Linked DNA regions of Coturnix japonica. The protein of the gene in region 3 interacts with the protein of the main gene of each other region in a pairwise test. Links are inferred from orthologs where the notes say so. Each region holds a gene or a part of one and is shown on either strand. Other genes may lie near its edges.

The links.
Region 1: the proteins of TPP2 (region 3) and POLB interact in binary tests that used the Homo sapiens proteins (3 or more experiments, as listed by UniProt). The two-hybrid records come from large-scale screens. The link is inferred for Coturnix japonica from reciprocal best matches to the Homo sapiens genes TPP2 and POLB.
Region 2: the proteins of TPP2 (region 3) and EHHADH interact in binary tests that used the Homo sapiens proteins (3 or more experiments, as listed by UniProt). The two-hybrid records come from large-scale screens. The link is inferred for Coturnix japonica from reciprocal best matches to the Homo sapiens genes TPP2 and EHHADH.

Annotation. Positions count from the first base shown.
Region 1 is NC_029537.1:4,114,674-4,119,798, reverse strand, and holds the start of POLB (DNA polymerase beta), read left to right. Parts: upstream 1-1,650; 5' UTR 1,651-1,727; coding exon 1,728-1,788; intron 1,789-1,855; coding exon 1,856-1,913; intron 1,914-2,053; coding exon 2,054-2,120; intron 2,121-2,623; coding exon 2,624-2,698; intron 2,699-3,178; coding exon 3,179-3,237; intron 3,238-4,351; coding exon 4,352-4,401; intron 4,402-4,746; coding exon 4,747-4,798; intron 4,799-5,125. Other genes in the region: olfactory receptor 4S2-like, read right to left, coding at 1-455.
Region 2 is NC_029524.1:2,567,231-2,572,440, reverse strand, and holds the start of EHHADH (peroxisomal bifunctional enzyme), read left to right. Parts: upstream 1-1,735; 5' UTR 1,736-1,808; coding exon 1,809-1,882; intron 1,883-4,252; exon of another isoform or gene 4,253-4,597; intron 4,598-5,173; coding exon 5,174-5,210. UniProt on the Homo sapiens protein: Peroxisomal trifunctional enzyme possessing 2-enoyl-CoA hydratase, 3-hydroxyacyl-CoA dehydrogenase, and delta 3, delta 2-enoyl-CoA isomerase activities. Catalyzes two of the four reactions of the long chain fatty acids peroxisomal beta-oxidation pathway.
Region 3 is NC_029516.1:128,554,121-128,558,591, reverse strand, and holds part of TPP2 (tripeptidyl-peptidase 2), read left to right. Parts: intron 1-343; coding exon 344-498; intron 499-1,372; coding exon 1,373-1,449; intron 1,450-1,954; coding exon 1,955-2,082; intron 2,083-2,665; coding exon 2,666-2,765; intron 2,766-4,294; coding exon 4,295-4,443; intron 4,444-4,471. UniProt on the Homo sapiens protein: Cytosolic tripeptidyl-peptidase that releases N-terminal tripeptides from polypeptides and is a component of the proteolytic cascade acting downstream of the 26S proteasome in the ubiquitin-proteasome pathway.

The DNA of each region.
Region 1 (5,125 bases), on a different chromosome or scaffold from region 3:
TAGTGGAGAGGTCTGCAGATGGCCGTGTAGCGATCGTAGGCCATCACTGTCAGGATGAAGATCTCTGTGCAGCCAAAGAAATGGACCCCAAAGAGCTGCGCCATGCAGCCCACAAAGGAGATGGTTTTGTTTTTGACAAGGAAGTCAGCAATCATTTTGGGAGCTGTGACAGAGGAGTAACAGATGTCTACAAAGGACAAGTAGCAGAGGAAGAAGTACATGGGGGAGTTCAGGTGTTGGCTGCTCATCACGGTGACAATAATGAGCAGATTTCCCACCACGTTCATTGCATAGAAGCAAAGAAACATCACAAAGTACAGCCCCTGCACACCTCGACTCTCAGAGAGGCCGATGAGAATGAACTCCTTCACACGACTTGTAATCACTGCATTGGTCAGTTGGGCAGCCATACACAACAGACAGCCTGTGCACATGGAAAACCAAAGAGATGTCATTTGATATCATCATCATCACTAATAATGAATTCTGTACCAGAAACTGGGAAGCACATAGAATTACTATTAACCCTACAAAAGCATTGCTTTCCCCATTTTTTCCCCCTGGGTATTTCATTCTCCGCGAGTGAAACTTTGGCCATGGCTGTCATGTGCTCCTTCATCCTGGTCCTTTGGGGCTGTGAAGGACTGAGCCTACAGTCACTGTGCTATGAAGGACAGTGAGAGGCACAACAAAGGCGCAGGGCAGGATGTTTTCCCCCATTATAGTCCAAGGTTATGATTACAACCCTTGTGAGAACCCTTGTGAGACACCCATTTCCATTTCTGGCCTTCCACAGGGGCAACTGACACTGATACTGGTGCCTCCTTTGAGTGACCAAGATTGACTCGGACTTTTGACTCGGACTGATCCAAACTTTTGGTTTGGATCTCAGTTTGGGAACTCTCTCTCTCCACAATAGTGTTATATAGAGCTCGGTAAGCACAAGCCAAGCCCCAAATAAGCCATTCCTCCTCAGATCTTTCTGAGCTGCACCATCCCTTACTCAGATACTCACTTAGTTTCTCAGGGTCCCACAGGTGTTCAAGAGTAAAATCCCATGACACTAGGGGTCCCCAAGCTTCTAACCTCTTTCCTAGACCTCATCATATTTCCTGCCACTCACCATTCTCTGATTTTTGGGAAGGCTTCCTCTACATAACGTAAATTACTCTTGCAGAGCATACATGCAGACAGACTGATAGCATAGTACCTAAGCTGGCACCCTGAACGTGCATAAGGAACTGGGAAGAGCACTTGGAAACCAGTCCAAACCCCATATTGCCGTTTAAATTAGCTGGGATATACAGGGACCAGGCAGGTATCTCCATCAGCACCCTTCACTGATTATAGCTACGTGCAACTCCAACATAGAACACGAGGAGCTTAAAAAGAAACCAGTGTGTCCCAAGGAACATAACGTCCGCAGCCCTCAATACAATGCTTTACAACTGCCACAGTTCCGCATTATGTTCTGAAGTGAACCACAACAAATGCCCGGCTGATTCTCGAGCAGCAGCAGAGTTCCGACCTCCGGGACCTCCGGGGCCTCCAGGGCCTCCTGGGCCTCCCCTCCGGCCGGACCACTCCTCTGCCGGCCGCGCCTGCGCTGTGCCGGCGGAACGCGGAACCCAACCCGGCTCCTCCCCGCCGGAACCGCGGCCTTTCCCTGTCACCGCCGGAAGCGCTGCCGGCCGCTTTTCCGGTGTTAGTCGCTCCTGCTGCCCGCCATGAGCAAACGGAAAGCGCCGCAGGAGAGCCTGAACCAGGGCATCACGGACTTCCTCATGGGTATGGGGGGCGCGGGGGGCGGGTCTGGGGTTCGGCTCGACTGGTCCGACTGTGTTTCTCCCCGTAGAGCTCGCGAATTACGAGCGCAACGTGAGCCGGGCCATCCACAAGTACAACGCGTACAGGTACCGTCTCCTTCCTCAGGCCTGACCCGTTTCTTTAACTCGCTCCCGGCTCTCGGGGGTCTGGCCCGGCCTCGCTGCACGAGCCGTGCTGGGGGCTGAGCGCTGCGCGGCTCTGGGCTCTGACCGATGCCGTTCCGCAGGAAAGCGGCCTCCGCCATCTCCCGGTACCCCAGCAGGATCCAGAGCGGAGCCGAAGCGAAGAAGCTGGTGGGTCCCGGGGCGAATTTGGGCTTCTCGGGGTGAAGGAGTTGCGTTAGGACGGTACCGAGGTTTCCAGGAGGAGGGAAGCGATGTGCGAACGGCTCTGCCTGCGTCAGCTTCTGGCAGCCGGCTCAGGGAAGGGGGGAGCGGAGCGCATCAGCTGTGGGGGTCTCATAGACTTGAGCTGGGGACTCCAGCTGGTCTCTTCTGTGCAAGGCAGGTTTCCGCTTTGCTGTGTTGCTGTCTCACCAAGTTTGGGGAATTGGAGTTGCAGGAATCAAAACCCAGTTTAAAATAACTGTTTTCAGCGAGTTTGTAATGCGGCACTTGAAGTGCTGAGTTTGTGCTGCTTGTGTTGTACCTTTCAGTGCTCCCGATCTCTCATAGAACAATGTTTTAAAATGGTTTCTGTGACTTCACGGCTTTTTGTTGAGCTTTATTTTTCTTAGCTGTGATGGCTGTATGTGGCCTTGAAATTGACTTGTGTTTCATCCTTCCTCAACATTTAGGATGGAGTAGGTGCTAAAATAGCTGAGAAAATAGATGAGTTTTTATCCACTGGAAAGCTCCGCAAGTTGGAAAAGGTGTGTTTCTTTCCTTTGTGCTTTATTTCTCAGCAGTTGTTTTACTTTGTTCTTTGGGAATTGGTCTGCTGCTTTTGTGCAGCTTCTGTCCCTCTCTGTGGAGGGACTGATGTCAAGCACTCTGCAAAGTAAAGTGGGGAACAAGAAGCTTAGGCAAAGCCTCTGAACTGTCTACTTATATTTTAGATTGTACAATTGGCACATGAATGTCTTCTGTAAGAAGTGGAATGCAGGCTCTGGAAGGCTGTGGAATTGAGTTTTAACCACGCTGTTTACCTTAGTATGGGCAGTTAAGACAATTAATTTGCAGGAATGGTACATTGTGGCACCATCCTAATGCATAGTATTATTGTTAACACTGTTTTGTTCTGATTTACGGTAGGTCTCCAAAGCAGAATCTGACCAAGTTGTTTTATAAGCTTTCTTTGTCTACTGAAATGGAGTAAAGAAGAGCTTGTTCACATTATTATGTTCTTGCAGATTCGACAAGATGATACAAGTGCTTCCATCAACTTCCTGACACGAGTTACTGGAATTGGGTAAAGCTTGGTTATTATCTGTTAGTGCAGGGGGGAAGTGGTTGTTGTCAGAGTTGTAGAGCTGTCAGTTACAGGTTTTGCAGTAGAAGAGTGGAAGTAGAAAGCTCCTGTGTGCAAGCTGAGAGGGGAAGGAGGGAGGGAGGCGATCAGAAACTGAATCGGAAGGTTGAGAAAAGTAAAATCAAGAAGACATAGTAGGAGCCTGTGAGACTTATGGTGCAAAATCTGATTAGGGAGAATAGTATTTGTACCATGTTTGTAAAAGGAGATCCAGAGCCCTGCCAACCCCTCAAAAACAGGACTTTTCAGAAAGATTATATTAGGAGTTCTCAGGCCTGTTCTTGTTCCCATACTGTGCGTAGGGAAATTTTGGCAAAAAAAGAGCTCAGTCTACAGACAGGCACTTAATTTAGCATGTGCAGAGCAGCAGTAGTCAATATCTTGAGTGAGAAGGGCTGTGATACTGCTTGCCAAGAACAGGATTGGCTAAATATAGAATATCGGTGCTTAAAAACAGAACTGGGTGGAATGCTGTGGGGAAGGAGAAGCAATATTGAGACTGCCTGAGGTGGAAGGCAGGAGATGCAGTGGTGCTTCAGTAATTCTGAAGAAAGATTTGCTGAAAGGTTGTGGGTGTTTATGTTGTGCTTATGATAAACTCTTCAGCCAAGCTGCTTTTCTGTAGTGTAGGTTGCAAGCTAGAGTCTTGTGTAGATTTTTGTTTGTTTTTAAGTTGTAGTCTAAAGACACTTGCATTGTTGCCTTAAGCTGATTCAGAGGCTGTTAATAGTGAATGTAGTCCTTGTGCCTTCAGTTCCATACTAGTATTTGTCTAAAGCTGTGCTGGCTGTTTGGTGAGATTGTGTTGGTTTACTTTTTAAAATCATACATCAGTATGTAGTTCCATCAATACTAAAAATGTGCAGTTGGATAATTGTCTCTGTTGCTTGAAAACACAAGCTAAAATGTGCATGACAAAAGGATGATAAGCGCTGCAAGCAACCGTAATCTCAACCTTGAAAAATCAGGGCAGTTTGAGTGAACTGTGATGTCCTTTGTAGTGCTGTAAGGTTCCTGCTGTTCCTAATTGCGTGATGCCTTGCCTTTTTTGCAGTCCTGCTGCCGCTAGGAAGTTTGTAGAGGAAGGAATTAAGACTTTAGAAGGTGAGTATTGAGTGTAACTTTGGGTCCTCAGTTTATTCTCTGATAATGTTTCTTATGTTGCATTGCTTGTTTCACGGTAACAGTGTGATAGCAGATAAGCCTTTAGTTTGAGGAAACTGTATTGATAAAATAACAACAACTAGCTAATCTAAATGTAGTGCACAGGCTAGAGGCATTATGAGCCTGTTAGAGCCATTATTGAGCAACCTGTTAAAAATCTCTTCATTGAAGTTGCTATTTGCTCGTTGAATATTCTTCATTTGCATCATCTTTGTGTTGTTGAAAACGCACTGTAAGAACTTAAGTAACTTTTTTCTTTTTTTTTTTTTTTTTTTAATTTTCTAGATCTAAGAAAAAATGAGCACAAGCTGACCCATCACCAGCGAATTGGGTTGAAGTAAGCTTTTTTGGCTTCTTGTGCTTGGCTTTTCTAATAACTGCTTAAGACACCAGAATGTAATGTTGGTTATGGGCAGGACCGAGGTCCTGTCCTCTCTATATGCTCTCTGTGCAGGGACAGCTTTGGTGTATCTGATTCAGTGGCAGGGATGTGGGGTTTGTGGCAGAGAGACAAACTGCCTGCTAGAGAGTGAGAAGTGTTATGCAGCCATTTGTTTACTTATTTATTTTTTATTTATTTATTTTCCCCACTACTCAGGTTCCATACTTAGTATGCATCTTTACATGTGTGAGTATTCACAGGAAAATACTGTTAAGGAAGGTA
Region 2 (5,210 bases), on a different chromosome or scaffold from region 3:
CCAAGAATACCTCTGTGTTAGATGACACTGTGAACTCAGGAACTGTTGAGGCTTACCCCATCTGGGGTGCTAAATTGATGCTGTAAGTCGCTCTGTTGTGAAACTCTTCAGGAATCAAACTGGAGCATCAGAAGGCAGGCACTCTGTATTTTCAGTGCTGAAAGCACGGGGGTTGCATTCCACCTATCACGAATACCTTGTACAAAAGATCTTCAGCTTATGTACATTACTTGCATCACATATGCTGAGGTTTTCTTGGAGGTACAAATGCATTCAATACTTGCTTTCACAATAGCTGATTCCAAGCAGAACTTCCTTATCTACTTGGTACAAAGACTTAACAGAACTCCCCTTATTTGCTTGGTAAAAAGACCAATATCTATCTAATTATCTACTTGATACAATGAGAAAGCTCTTCCCATTATCCAAACAAACTTCAGGGCTATCCATCAAGGAACACGAGCAAACTTAACAATTTTGTTACAGCTCATTTTAAGCTGGGGAACGAGGAAGGATTTATTCACTGAGAACAGGCTCCCAGGGCAGTGGGCACGGCCCTAAGCTGCCAGAGCTCAAGAAGAATCCAGACACCACCCTGAGACATACGGTCTGATTTTCAAGTGGCACTATGTAGAGCCAGGGGTTGGACTCAATGTGCTGCAAAACAGACCCTGGTCCAAATAAAACTCCTTAAAACCAATGTGTTATTCAGAAGCTGGCATTCTTTAAAATAGCACTGGATGCACAAGGGGATCCTTCCACCTAATCATAGAACAACCAAGCTTGGATAAGACCTCCAAGATAATCCGGTCCACCCACAACCAATATTTCCCACTAAACCATGTCCCTCAGTACAACATCTGAATGCTTCTTGAACACCTCCAGGGACAGTGACTCAAACACCTCCCTGGGCAGCCCATTCCAGGGCCTAACCACTGTTCTGGAGAAATTATTCCTATCATCCAACATGAATTTTGCCTGGCACAACCTGTGGCTATTCCCTTTAGTCTTACTGCTAGTTATGAGAAAGAAGAAACCAACCTCCACCTTGCCACAACCTCCACTCAGGGAGTTGTAGGGAGCAATAAGGTCTCCCCTGAGCCTTCCTTTCTCTGGACTGAGTTCCCTCAGCCTCTCCTTGTGCTCCAGACCCCTCACCATGCACCCCAACAGAACAACAGCACATCCCTTATAATACATTTGGGTACAGCACCTCCATGTGCTTGGAGAGAGGTCATGAGACCTCAAGCACCTCTCCCATTCACACACATGTTGTTAGTTAACAATCTCCTAAACAATCTGCTAAAAGGCAGGCTAGACAGACACGCTGATTTCCGAGATTCTCTTAAAAGACCTTGTGGGTCCCTTCCAACTCCGGATGTTCTATGATGGAGGACCTCATTATACCAAGTGGCTGACTTGGCCAGGACCTATAAAAGAGAGATTAGAGATACATTAAAAAATCCCTAAATAAGCTAGCTTTCCACAGCAAGCTATTTAGGTTAAACTACACTGTGGATTAAGCCTACAGCTCCATTGGGAGCCCACCCAGATGACCTTGGGCATCTCCAGAGACTGGGCAGCACCCTGGGAACCTGTGCCAGGGCTTCACTACTCTTTTTAGCACGAGACTTTTCCCTTATATCCAACCTAAACCTCCTGCTGTAAGGTTTATATTCAAACACACGGATCACACAGTGACCCCGCAGGGTGCCGTGCCCTGTCGCGTTCCGCCCCGCCCCGCCTGTGCAGGCCGCGCTGTAGGCCGGGCGCCGGGCAGAAGCGAGGGGACAGCGGCAGTGCTCGGTATGGCGCAGTACGCGAGGGGAGCCGCGGCCGTGGCCGTCATTCGGCTCCGCAACCCGCCGGTCAACGCGCTGAGGTAAAGGAGGCACCGCCCGCCATTACGTGAGGCGGGCCCGGCCCCCTGCTCGGTTACAGGGACTCGGGGCTTTCTCCACACGGGCTGGGTGCGGCTGTGGCTCCTGCAGAACGACAACACGAGGCTTAGGGCTTAGATATCGCTTTGCTATCACCGCGCCGAGCTCCTTCGGGATTTGTGCTCCTCGCTATAATGTTTAAAGGGTTTTTTTTTTACGCCAGGTTCATGGGTGTGTGCTTTCTGCCATCTCCCTTGGAATCTCTCGTCAGTCGCAGCGTTAGCTCAGCTCTTCCACTCCCCAGCTCCTGTGCATTTAGGTGGAAATCGGCTTTCCCTCCACGATTTGCTGCTTCTCACGTTGGCTGATAGCTCTGCTTCCAAGTGCGCACAGGGGTTGGGGCAAAGAGCTCTGTGAGCAGAGGGCACGGCTCAGCAGGAGGCACCGATATCCAGCCCCAGTGTCAGAGTGCAGGCTGCTCATGTGCCTTTAGAAACGAGTAAGGCATTGACCTCCCAATGCTACACCTGGTGAAGAAGGTGATCTCAGACCAGCCGGGGACAGGCAGCCAAGCAGAGCCCCTGAAGTTGGACTTTTCCACCTTTCCATCTGTACTCAAGAGGCAAAACATCCACTGCAGACACACACAGCTTCTAGAGCAGAAAGTTGGTTAAAAAAAAGCTGAGGGGAATGGATGAGCATGAATGGGGAACACAAGGTGCATTGCTCCAGCTGCCAGCCCTCACTCCTTCACTGCAATGTTTGAAAGCACAGAAAGACCTTTGAGCTGAGACCTGGCTATAGCGAGGGAAGGTAGAGGACACTCTGTGATCCTTGTATGTACCTTCTGCTCTTGCATATTTTAGTTACTCTGTCTGCAGGGGAGCAGGTTTGTGATTGCTGCTTGAGATGTCTGTTTATGTAGGTGATAGGAGGCAGGGAAAGTTACAGACCGGAGCTGTGTCCTGCAGTCCTGACAATTTAATTTCACAGCAGGCACAGATGCCTTTTAAAAGGCTGATGTGCTTTTCCTGCACTGCTGTGCTGCAGCCTCACCTCTTTCTCCCCATTAGATGTGATACTCGGCACCGTTTGCCCAGCTCCCTCTCCATCGCACCAGCCATTAGCACTTTAGAAGCCACTCGTGGGTAGAAATTTGCTTTTTGCTGTCTAACAGCATCTGCTGCTGTGCACGTACCTCCCAGGCGGTGCTTTCCTGAGGAATATTTGCTGACTTGTGAGGCTGGCAGCAAATTTGGTTTCCACACAACCTCTCTTCAAGCTAATCTATCTCTCCACCAACAGAGCTGGCATGAACCAAACTTGCTTGCTAAAAACAATAGGGGGGAAAAGCAGGAGAAAAAAGAGAACTCTGTCAGTTACAGTTCAGGAAAGGGATCTTTACCACTGAGAGATCTTTGAGATCACCAGCTCAGTGTGCTTGGACAGCCCAAAGAACCCAGCACATATGCTGAGAACGGAACAAAAGAGAGAGCACCATTCCTCTATGATAAAAAAACAAAACACTAAAGGACTTCTGAAGTACTGCCTGTAGTTCTGGACTATGCATTTGCAGAAGGACACAGGGACAATCTGGAAGGGGACAACCAGAACTGAAAGGCCAGAGCAATGCACTAAGAAAGCACAGTGAAGAGGTTGAGAGTCATCAGGTTGGAGGCGAAAGGCTGTGGGAGAATAAGGGTGAGGTTTATGAAACCCCAAAGAAGGTAAATCAATTTGTCTATTTTTGATTACAAAATCCTTCAGTAGCTGATGTAGGGGCGTTTGATTACACTGCTAGGAGATTGTTTTCAAAGAGATCATACAAAGCTTGATGCAACAGGAGCCCGTGGAGGCAGATGGGTTGGCTGGATCAAGGATTAGACAAATTCATGAGCAGCAGGTCTGTAAGGGATGCTAAATGAGGGTATGTAGATACATACCAGACCATCCCTCATGCAGTGACTGTGGATGCTTTGAATGTTGGGGGGAAATACAAAGGGAAGGGAGCAGACCTGCACGATGCACTAAAAGCATTTTCTATTGTTAGATTGCAGCCTGGCTGAGTTAATTTTCAGGATTCCCTTAAGCTACTTTCATTTATCTTTAAATCTGTGTTTGCAAATCCTTGCAAAATAATAATAATAATAATTTGAAGCCTTGTTACAAACCCTTGTTACCGATGGGTAGAGTTTTGTGCAAGGGAGAAATAACCTGGTGTGGTCAGCCCCAACAACAGTCTGTGCTGGGGGGCATGTTGTACCCACCCAGAATGCTGCTGAGATACATAGCACTGAAGCACCCCATCGGGATGGCTTTTCTTGCAGTCAAAACAGTACACATGGCAGAGCCGAATACATAGCAGTGAATTTCTCATTGTTACTGTTAAACGAATGATGCTGTCGCGCAGTAATGAAATAGTTATGCAAATGAGGGTGACTTTTTGTCTCTTTCATGCTCTGGCTGTTTGAAGTTGTGATACTCTTGAGGATTTTTACAGTTCTACTGTCATACATTTTACTATGATTTCCTTCATGGAAAATGACATCTCTTAGTATCACTTACAGCATGTGCATTGCATGCCATGCAGCTCACACTGGGCTGGGACACGTCCTGGGGTAGGAACATTGCTCCAGGGCAGGAGAACAAGCAGCTGCCTCAAATCTGGGTGATGATTCCTCCTCTTTATCCCACAAGAAATTCTCCCTGGCAGAAAGCTATAATGAAGGGAGAAGAAATATTTTTGCAAGTAGAGTTTCATGTGGCAAAACCAATTGTGTGGTATTAATACAGATAACACGGGCAGCTTGGATGACAAATCTTTCTTCTGGCAGGAGGGTGTTGCTGTAAGTGCTGTGAAACTAAGGGCTTCTAAGTCATTTCCTATGGAAAATCCAGAACCATCTGAACCAGACTCTTTCTATTGCTATTTTGCAGCTGCTGATCACACGGCTAATGTAAGCACAGAAACATTGGATTGCTTCCTGTGACAGAATTATGTGTCTTTTTCTACACAATATTTTCAAATCAATAATTTCATAATTGCTCAAAATCCCATTGCAGGCTTTTTTCCCCTCTTGGCAGAGGTGAGCAGTGATAAGCTTGTTGGATTTTGGCACTTGCTCTTGAAGTGAGAGGGAGACTAACAAAGATTCAACCAGAGAGGGTATGGCAGAACACAAAGCAGAGGACAGACATACATGGATTCATTGCTTATTTTCACTGAGCCGCTTTGTGTTGGTGGAAAAGTAAAATTGTTGGTTGTTAGTCACTGAATCTCTTATTTATTTCAGTTTGACAGTTCTCCAGGCATTAGAGGATGGACTGAAA
Region 3 (4,471 bases):
CCCCTAATTTCCACAGTCTGATTATTTTTGGTATAATTTTTGTTACTTTGGGTAGGAAGTGTTGGGCCTTTTTGTTAATGACTGTTAGTGAAGTTTATTATACTTTCTTTCTCTTCTTCTGCCTCCTCCTTCCTGCCCTCAAAAGCTGTTTTGTTTGGCAAATTGCTCCTAATTACTGGCTTTTTGCCTCTCATTTAAATAAATATCATATTATACTAAGTAGTTTCAATTCTGGGTTTGCTAATGTAGCTCATTAAATGAAAACTAATAGAGCTATAGTGTATTAAATCAGCATAAAAGAAGTTCACTAACCATACAGTGGTTTGAATTTTCATTTGCCTAGGGGCACATGGAACACACGTGGCTAGTATTGCAGCAGGATATTTTCCTGAAGAGCCAGAGCGAAATGGTGTGGCTCCTGGAGCTCAGATTCTTGCAATCAAGATTGGTGATACGAGACTTAGTACAATGGAAACTGGCACTGGTTTAATAAGAGCTGTAGGTATTTCATTGGATAAACGTTAACCTCAGCAGTTTGAATTTGTTATGGAATAATTTGAGATACTTTCTAGTTCAGTAACTCATATGCTTTGGTTTTATAGTCCTATAGTACCACCAGCCTTAAAATAAATAAAAGGAAACAATAATTCCAAGCTCATTGAAAAACTTCTGTTTTATAAGAAATAAACATTCAGTAAGGCTTATATATATTTTTTTTTCAGATGAGTGTTGCGGTGTTTGTCTAACTTAGCCCATAGGATAAGTGGCTTGTAAGCCTATTTAAAGTTATTTATTCTTATCCTTTTTTTTTATGGTTAGCTACATAACTATAATACTTAGAGTAGCAACTGGTGTATAACTTTGTGACTGTTTCTTAAGAGTGAGGAAAAAATACTACTTTCTCATGATCAAAGTCTTAATGCCTCTGCTATACAGTTACGTGTTTGAGGAGAATGGATGTAAGAGAAGAAATGAAGATATAAAATGATTATTTGTATAGATCATAGAATATATTGCTATAGTGAAGATTTGTGTTAATACTACTACTGTGGCTTTTTGGAATTTAACTAAACCACAGAAGAAAGGAGAAATTTGTCTTATTAAGGACACATATTTAATACTAATGAGTTTTGTGGTTTTATATTATGTTAATGTCTTAATTTATAGCTTGGTACATGGCATGTTAATGGCTTGTTTTGTTTTTTAACTAGGCTCCTAGGAAAACACCACTTTAATGTAGATTACTTCAGTCCCCTCCGGAGGGTTGAAAAAAATGTTGCTTTTTTCCAAAAATGTGTAGCAGGCAGTTTTAAGCAGATGTTTTTTCCTATTCCGTAATTACCTACATTGCCTTTAATTCTTGCTTTATCAGATGATAGAAGCAATAAAATACAAATGTGATCTTGTCAACTACAGCTATGGAGAGGCAACACATTGGCCAAATTCTGGGTAAGTGCTACTGTGTTTAGCATAAAGTTATTTAACATCACACAAGTGTAATTTCAGGTGTTGACTTTCTGTAAATGTACTGTCAGTAAGGAAGAATTGTCCAGGCCGAAATGATGGCATTAAAATATTGCAGTTTATTTTTTTTAAATACCTACAAAAACTACATAGGCATATTGAAAGTGAATTTTGATAATAGGAATAGTTTAGAGCAAAGAAGTGTTGTGGTAGTTGAAACACTATGTAATCTGGGTGTTTTTTTGTTTTCTGGGTTTTTATTTTAATGTTGATGTGTGCAGCTGTTATCCCTTCCAGAATAAGTAAGATCAGTTCTGGAACCTACTCTGCCTGATGTCAAAAGCTGGCTGCATAATATTTCTCTGTGACTGGTCCTGCTATGAATGGGATTTTTCTCACCCAGAGAGGAAAAATAAAACCAAATATGTTGTTTTATGCTGTTGATTAAATAACTCCTTTTTTTTTTTTTTTTTTTTTTCCCATACTTCAGGAGAATTTGTGAAGTAATTAACGAAGCGGTGTGGAAACACAATGTAATCTATGTTTCAAGTGCGGGAAATAATGGCCCTTGCCTTTCTACAGTAGGATGTCCTGGTGGTACTACATCTAGTGTAATAGGTATGAACGTTTGTTGGGTTTTTTTCTTCCCCTAAAACAAAAGACAGTATTTCTCTTCTGCCTGGGCTCTGGGCCCACTGAGCTGATCAGCAGGGAAATGCTGACTTTCCACCGTGTGGTGGTTGAGGAGTGTGATTTTTGCCCATCTGTTTAAGGTAGTGTAGCTCTGAGTCATGGGAACATGAACCAATTCACATAGATTCCTTTTTGGCGGCCTTAGTGTAGTTTGTGTCAGTGTAAACACTGACAAAATTATTTTCCCCAAAAAGGGGAAGGCGCATTTGGTAGTGATCTGTTGTGAAATAAGTACAGATGGTGGATAGGGATTGTTCAGTTGAATGCAAATAGCACTTCTAAGTTACCTATTTCATGCAAGATTTACATATTACTTAGTATCACTGTGAGCATTGTAACTTTGTAGCATGTGCTTTACACTTGGTTTGTAACAATAAAATTTACTGAGATGGAAAAAACATTCTTTTAAAGCCTTTTTAAAATAGTCATTCTGTAGTGTATTTAAAATAGTTCATTTTTTGTTTTATTACAAATTCATTTTGCATCTAAGATGTTTGTTTTCTAATAGGTGTTGGTGCCTATGTATCACCTGATATGATGGTTGCTGAATATTCTTTGAGAGAAAAACTGCCAGCAAATCAATATACTTGGTCATCCAGGGGGCCAAGGTAAGTTGTGGTAAAAGGAGAGAATTCCTTACTTTGCAGTTCTGGTTAACTAATTACAGGTCTAAAATTGGTCACTGATGCCAAAATGGAAGTATTCCCCAGGAATTGCTTAGGTAGTCTGCTGGTATTGGAAGGGCTTCATCTATAGGCCTCTAGAATTCTTAGTGGGAGGGAGGATGACTGAACTGTCAGTGTCACAATCTGTACGTTTCAGTAAAGTCTATTAAGAAAATGAAAGCCTGAGTAAAGTGGTTTGGAGATGTGTACTATTTCTCAGTTCTTTTTCTAAGGTTCTTTTCAGTATCATTTGTTTCATTCAGTAGTGTGGTATAGCTAACTATTCTGTTGGTGCTGAAGACCTGAAGAAATACCGTTGTGGTATTGTTACTTCTGGCTTCAGTGACGTTATAATGGCAGGATTATTGGTTTTGCTTGAATCTAGGGGAGGTGTGAGAGGACAGAAGAATGCTTTTCCAACTCGTTATAGAGAATTATTTCAAAGATCTATGAAAATGTTGGTTCTTCGAGAATTTTTATTATTATTTTATGTCTCATAAGAATTTGGTAGTAATGCGGTAGCCAAAAGAAGTCTTAGTAAGCACTAGAGGCTTTCAGACAGATATGCCATGATCTGCTTGTCTGGGATGTACGATAAAAACACTGTAATTTATATAGGACTGTCATAAAGTGTATTAAATTTGTTGTGACTCTGTAATGTAGAGAACTCTGATTTTGAGACTTACATGAAGCTATTAGTGTATGATACAAATCCACCTTGCTTCTCCACAAAATTTAATAGTTAAAGCTCAGTGTGGTCCTTATTGAAGTGATACATGTTTTCATCTGAACAGAGTGAGGAATATTTAGAGTATTAGCCTCATACAGTTAAAACCTAGATGCTTCGTAGGTACTCATTGGGGTTTTAAAAATGATCGGGCAAGGTAGAAGGTGACTTCAGCCCGGCTGATGCTGAACCACTGCTTGAGACAAGAACAGCAAGGGAAGAAGATAAAATGTATCAACTTCTGTATGTTAATTCAGAATTTTACCAGCTTGTGCAGTGGCTGTGCAAAATCCAGATCTCTAGATTCTATGTTTTTTTTTTCTAGTCTCTTTTTTTTTTTTACTAATTTTGCTTTAAGATATACTATATTTTCATTAAAAACAATAATGGTTAAATAGGCTTAGTGAAATATTTATTTACGTAGTGAAATACTTAGTGTATTTGTGTATGCTTTCTAATTCAATTTTGGCTCGATAAGTCAGCTGACTGAACTTTATATAGTATTTAAGGAATGAAAGTTTGAATAACTTGCACTGTGGAAAACAGGCCTAGCTGATTAGTTTGACATTAAGTTGCTACTTAATGTAATGCTTTATCTTGTATTTAATGGATTAATGATTTAGTAAAATACTATTTGGGACTGTGCCAAAGCTAAAATTATCTTTTTAAGTGCACAGGTAACTTCAAGGTAAACTGTGCAGAAAATAAAAGCTTGTTTTTTCAACAATTCTGTTTTTTACACTAGCACTGATGGAGCCCTTGGAGTAAGTATCAGTGCCCCAGGAGGTGCTATTGCTTCAGTTCCAAACTGGACTCTGCGAGGAACACAACTTATGAATGGCACATCCATGTCTTCTCCCAATGCATGTGGAGGCATTGCATTAGTACTGTCAGGTAATATCAGTGCATAGTATAAAAGATA